Rattus norvegicus: one gene and its partner. The protein of the gene in region 1 interacts with the protein of each later gene in a pairwise test. Links are inferred from orthologs where the notes say so. Each region holds a gene or a part of one and is shown in the gene's direction. Other genes may lie near its edges.

What was found. The genes of interacting proteins can lie anywhere in the genome.
Region 2: the proteins of Sh3gl1 (region 1) and Dppa4 interact in binary tests that used the Homo sapiens proteins (3 or more experiments, as listed by UniProt). The link is inferred for Rattus norvegicus from reciprocal best matches to the Homo sapiens genes SH3GL1 and DPPA4.

Annotation. Positions count from the first base shown.
Region 1 is NC_086027.1:936,548-939,890, reverse strand, and holds part of Sh3gl1 (endophilin-A2), read left to right. Parts: intron 1-2,636; coding exon 2,637-2,705; intron 2,706-2,818; coding exon 2,819-2,891; intron 2,892-3,343. UniProt on the Homo sapiens protein: Implicated in endocytosis. May recruit other proteins to membranes with high curvature.
Region 2 is NC_086029.1:66,032,756-66,035,755, reverse strand, and holds the end of Dppa4 (developmental pluripotency-associated protein 4), read left to right. Parts: intron 1-953; coding exon 954-1,149; intron 1,150-1,955; coding exon 1,956-1,989; 3' UTR 1,990-2,500; downstream 2,501-3,000. UniProt on the Homo sapiens protein: May be involved in the maintenance of active epigenetic status of target genes. May inhibit differentiation of embryonic cells into a primitive ectoderm lineage.

The DNA of each region.
Region 1 (3,343 bases):
GTCTGTCATGGTGCTGGCACTGGTAAATTGGAGCAGGTGAGCCTTTGACCCCCACCTGTGTCAACTTGCCCCCAAACTAGTCTGAGTCCCTGTTTTGAAGGCTGTGCTGAGGAGCAGCAACAGAAGGATCTGGAAGCTTCAGTGTATGAGGCATAGTTGCTGCGTCCACTGGACATCATGTCCATCCATAGACAGTTGTCATGTTCAGTTACACATAGTGGGGTCCCACTTTGACCCTCTGGATGACTGTAACTGAATGTAGCAGGGAGCCACTGGGCACTCTCCCTCCCCTTCTGTGATATGATCTTTGTTGCTCAGATTGAACCCTCCCACCCCCCATGGCTACCAAGTCACAATCATGGGATGTGATTGTTTAAGGGTGGCTGTCCATCAGCAGCCCCCATGGACCCGCCAAAAACCCCACTCTTCCTAACTTCTCTGTCACACATCCAGTTACCTGCCTCATGGCTCCTCTATCCTGTGCAGCCATGATGGTCTGTATCATGCTCTGAAAGACACTGTTTCTGCTTAGTTTGGCAACATGGGGCAAGGGCCCTACCCAGTAGCACCCTAGTCTCTATGATCCCGTTGGGTGGCTAGTCTCCCCATTGTGTCCTTTCTACTCCCATCCCAGGTACCTGGTTTACAGTAACATTGTTAACGGAGACCATATTAGGCAGACCCAATATGAGTAGCCAAGCTACTGGCTTCCTGTGCTCTAAGGGGTCAAATCTGTAGTAACAGGCTGGCCAGAGAAGTGGGAGCAATCTTGGTGCACATTGCTTTGGGCTTGTCCCCTAGAGTTCCCAGCACAATCCTGCTAGGGCAGTGATGCCCACATATCCACCAGCCCTGCCAGGTTAGCTGAGCACTACTCAGTTTGTACTCCAGAGTGACTGCAGCAAGGCAGCTCTTGGGAGGGATGGTGACCTCTGCAGGGCTGGCAGCTCTCTGCCAAGAACCTAGGTCTTTGCATGCCACCATGCAACCCTGTTGTGCTGTGGAGGCTGATGACTCCCCACAGACTTGTAAACAGGCTGTACCTTGCCTTCTGGCTCTGGAGTGAGGGTGTCTTGTCTCCTAGTTTTCTCCTGTGCCGATACCTGCCCCCGAGCTGTGGAGGGATGTGATTTTGCAAACGGCTCAGAGTACGAGGTTGCAGCTTGCTCATGGCATATTCAGTGATGTGTGGCCCCAGTGGAGCTCTTGGGCCTTGGGGAGGCTGGGTCTCCAGATCACAGGGCACAAGAGATAGGACCATTAAGAAAGCCGCTAGGTGTGCTCTGGGCTCCCCTCTTCCTGCCTTGCTGCCCTTCTTAAGATACCATGCCCCAGGCCCAGTTGCTGTCCCCGGAAGCTGTGGCCCTGCCTTACTTCTCTGCATTTACCATAAGAGCTAGGCCTTGTGGTGGGTGACATCCTGCCTCTGCTCAGCCTAGAGAAGCGAAACTGTTTGTGAAAGCTGGTGGGGTTCCCTGGGAATACCCATACACCTGGTGGGGCCTGTCCTGGGCCTCTCCATGAGTATGAAGATCTAAGACAGGCTCTGGGGACCCTCATGGGTAACCCTGTCTAGTGGACAGGGCAAGCCAGAGACTATGGCAGCCTTCAGATCACTGTGGGTAGCTACCCAAGCACAGGGTTGGGAGGTCACTCCCCTGCTTCTACAGCCACCCCACCCACTTCCTGATATCTTTGGTCATTTCCTCCCAGAGTACAAAGTCGTTACTGTTCCTGCCTGTGACATGGGTACCATACAGCCCTTGCAAAACCCTTGTAACAGCTCAGAGTCAGGAGCACCAAGGTCATGGCACCTGAAAATCCACACTGGTACCTTATCTCAGGAGTCCAGCCTGCTACTGTGCATGTGTGGCTTCCATGCCTTTAGCCTCTGAGCAAAGGCACCCTAGAAATACCCCCATACTGGGCCCCCTGTCTCTATAGCTAGTAGTAGACCTGTCATATCTCATGCGAGGGTGACCTGGGCAGTGGCTACCTTGCTTGTGTGTCCTAGGGGCTTGGGTATGATGAGTGAGGATGATTGTGGTGGGCAGATTGGGGTCTTGTGCCCCAGAGGGGTGACACATATTGTTTGGCATTCAGATAGTAACACAGCCACTCAGGACTCTCTGCCAGGTCCAGCAGGGTCAGGGCCCAGCTGTGTCTACTCTGCTCCAGGCTCTCAAGTCTAGGCTCCTGATTGCAAAGTGTGCTTTGTGAGGTCAAGTTCTGACTTCCTTGAGAGGGGGGGGAGGGTCCATCCTTATCAGCTGTCAATGTCAAAGTGGCAGGCACCAAGGACTCAGGTACACAAGAGCTTCCTGAAGCCTGCAGTATCCACAAGGCTTGAGCTGCCATGGGGTCTGTGCTCTGCCTTTGCCAAAGTAACAGGGTCAGCCAAGAACTGGGAAAGATGGAAGTCTCCATGGGGCATGGGCCTGGGACCTCAGAGGCAGTGCGCAATGCTAGCTGGGTCACAGCACACCCCAGCACTGTTGGCTTCTCTAGGGCTCACCCAGATACCCCATCTGCCCGCCTTTCCTGGAGTTCACATCCTTGACAGATACAGTTGCCCTCCACAAGCCAGCAGGAATTCCTCCTGTGCCCTCACATGCCTTCCTCCTTGTACCCAACAGCTGGTCAGCGAGAAAGTTGGTGGGGCCGAAGGGACCAAACTGGATGATGACTTCAGAGAGATGGAAAAGGTAGGATTCCACACTGGACTGTGGTGGGGGCTACTCCTGCTGGAGGACAGAAGAGCCTATATCCAGCTCCACCTCCACCTCTAATGGCTCCAACACTGTGGCTCTCTCCACAGAAAGTGGATATCACCAGTAAGGCCGTGGCAGAGGTGCTGGTCAGAACCATAGAATATCTGCAACCTAACCCAGGTAGGTAGGGCCTGGGCCTCTGGTTAGAGGGGTAGGAAGGGGAATACTGGGTCTGATTCCTCAGACTTCCCTTGGAACTGAAGTGATAATGACCTACTCTTGATGGCCTCTACACACACAAGGATTCCCTCTGCTGACTTGCAGAGCCAGTGTGCAGTGGAACCAGGTCTTCCCAGGCAAGGGTGACAGGGCACTCACTGAAGATTGAGAAAGTTAGACCACGTTCAAGAACCCAGACCACAGTGCTGTGATCATTTTGGCCTCTGCAGATGACAGATAGGCCTTCTTGCCAAGGCCTGGAGGAAGGGATGTATTGGAATTGTTCCCCTCCTCTGTGAACTGCCAAGTCCTTGGGAGTATACCCAGAGACAGCCTGGTGCCTGGCCCACTGGCCAGTTGGGGATATGAGGGCCCTGGTCTGGTGTACGCCTCAGTACAGTATAGTGTGGAGA
Region 2 (3,000 bases), on another chromosome or scaffold:
AGGAAGTCACACTTTGAAAATAACTTCAGATTACTCACTCCCCACACAAGAAGCAAGATGTGCTTGGTGTTCTTTCTTCCTCTTACATTTTTCATTTGAAGGACAGGGCTGAAGACTCGGTTCTCTTGGCATCTGTTAAGTTGGTGAGGGTAACTGATTACAGTTTCTTCTTAGTAAAGCAAGCACATACTCAAACATGTTGATTCCAATGCCTGAGTAGGTGGATGGGCAGTTTAAATTCAACCCAGGCTACATGAGACTTTCAAAATTCAGAGAGCCCCTGTTGTAAGAATAGCAGAGATGTCATGAAGGAAAATCCTGCTTAGCCTGATGATAATGGGTGGTCCTAGGGCGAGAAAGATGCTAGGGGTTGAGCACTTCTTGCAAAGGACTCAACCATAGTACTTGGGAGGCAGAAGCAGGATCTTGTAACTAGTGGGGCCGCCATAGTTTCGTGATAAGATCCTATTTCATGAAAACCCTTTAATTTGCTGGGAGGTGCTTTTTGGTTTTGTTTGTTTGGGATTTTTTTATAGGATTTTTTTTTTTTTTTTTTTTTGTCTGTTTTTGTTTCTTTTCTCTAACTCTGGCTGTCCTGGAGCTAAGCTCTGTAGATCAAGCTGACCTCAACCTGACAGCCTGTACCTCCTTAGTGCTGGGATTGAAATCATGTAGCACCCCCACCCCAGCAGTTTTCTGGGAGTTTGTTTGGTGTACGTGTGATGTGTTAGGATCACTAGAGCAGTCTAAAGCAAACTCCTTACCATTAGAGCTATATCTACAGCCCTAAAGTAAAGCCCTGAGGGTCTCTTGTGTACATTCACTGTAGGTAACAAAATGGATTGAGATGAAGGTTGGATTCCCAGTCTTACCTCAGGGCTGGCATTTCAGAGAAGCATCAAGTCTAGTCTGAAACTCTGGTGTGTTCATGTTAAATCTCTTTGGTTCCACAGGGGAAATGTGGTGTGTGGTGCATGGGACAAGCCTTCCCGCAACCTCAAGTGGTTGGGTTCGACTACAGTTCCATGCTGGACAAGCCTGGGTACCCGATAAGAAAGGGAAAGCGATTGCCCTCTTCCTGCTTCCGGCCTGCACATTTCCGCCCCCACACCTGGAGGATAACATGCTGTGCCCCAAGTGTGTCCATAAGTGAGTGCTGTGGGTGTGTGCTGCCCGAGGGAAAGGTTAATTTCAATTAGCTGTGTCGAATATTACTTACCTTAATCATGTAAGTATATTCCCAAGGAGCTGCATTTACAGATCTTGCTATGTAGATTGTGCTGATCTCAAACTTGAAGCAAAAAAAGTCTGCCTGCCTCTGCCTCCTGCTTGGCATTAAGCCATACTAACAGGTTTTTGTCTACTTTTGGGATGGCTAGGAACCAAGGCTCACCTAGATCATATTGAGACCCTATTTTGTGAAAACCCTTTAATTTTCTGGGAGGTGTTATTTTGGTTTCATTTGTTTTTGTTTTTCTCTAACTGGCAGTCTTGGAACTAAGCTCTGTAGATCAGGCTGACCTCAACCAACAGCCTGCCTCTACCTCCTTGGTACAGGGATGAAAATCATGCACAGCCACCACTTAGCAATTTGAAGCCAGCCTTGAAGTTCTCACTGTCCTGTCTCCACTTTCTGAGCATGGGATTACATGGTGCCCTGGGGCCTGGGTTATGCAGTGTGGAGATCAAATTCAAAGGTTCATGCATACATTCCCAACAGATCTTGCCTATTTTTAAATCTTAGCTCCTTCCTGGTTCTGGTCTCTTAACTTGTATTCTCAGCAGACCATTTGTAATCTCAGCACTCAATGTAGTGTAGACTGGGATAGATTATTAGGAGTTCAGGGCAAGCCTGATCTACCTGAGACTCCATCAGATGGGGGGCAAGGGGATGCTGAAGTGGGGAAGGAAGAAATATGTAAATGAATGAATCCATGGATAAATTTGTTTTCTAGGAACAAGATCTTAACTAAGAGCCTTGAAGGATAAAGAACGGATCTCTTAAGGTTGGACAGGCTACTGGCATCACTCACTCTTGTGGCGTGATCAGCAGAACTGCAGCTGACACTGAGACTGATGGAAACCCACACCTTTGAAGGTGCCCATCTCACCCAGGAGTGATGGGATATTGTAAGTTAGTTGATGCTTAAGTACAAGCAGTTTAGACAAAGCCACGGAGGCCACCAAAAGGTCCTCTGCTCATTGTGATGACTGAACACTGGGAGTGGCCTCTTTCTCTTGTGTGAAAGTAAAGTGTTCTATGTTTGCTGCAGGTAAGTCCTAGGGCAGGACTATGACATGTCCAGATGTAACAGTTGCTAGTCCTGTCACCAGCACAGTGGGGTCACAGCCAGTTCAGTGGTCAACTGTAAAGACTTAGCTTGTGCCTGTAGCCTCTGCGTGTCCCCTTCCCTGGTTTGTAGTGTGATGTTAGTGCTCAGTATTTGGGTTTGTTTTCTGCTGTTGTAAAATATTATACCAAATCTGGTTTGTGGCTTTTGTTTTTGTTATCTGTTTGATTGATTACTTTTCCCCTGAGTTCGTTCTGCCTCTCTGGACATCTTGTGTGAGAGGACTTTGGAACAATGCTTGGAACAGAGAGAGGTAGGGTGGGGCTCTGTCCCAAGCCAGGAAGAGCCAGGCTACAACCATGTGCTCAGGGTGTGATGGGAATGAAGGCCACCATCACCAACCACTTTGTATCCTCTGTACCAGCAATGCAGTTATTCCATAAAGGAACAGAAAGGTGCTTGCTGGTTCCCTCGGGGGATTGAGTATAAGTTAGGGCAGAAGCTTTCTGTGAGATTGCTAGGCTTCTATCATCTCCTGATGGACCCCTACTGTTTGTAGTTGATGTCATACACTCAACTGCCAACCCTGTTTCTGCCTCCCTCTCTTGTCTGAAAAGGACAAGGAGCTGGTGATCAGTACTACAAGTACCTTGGATGAAATCCACAACAGACAGACGGGTAGTGTTCTGATCTGTTCCTGGGGGAGTGA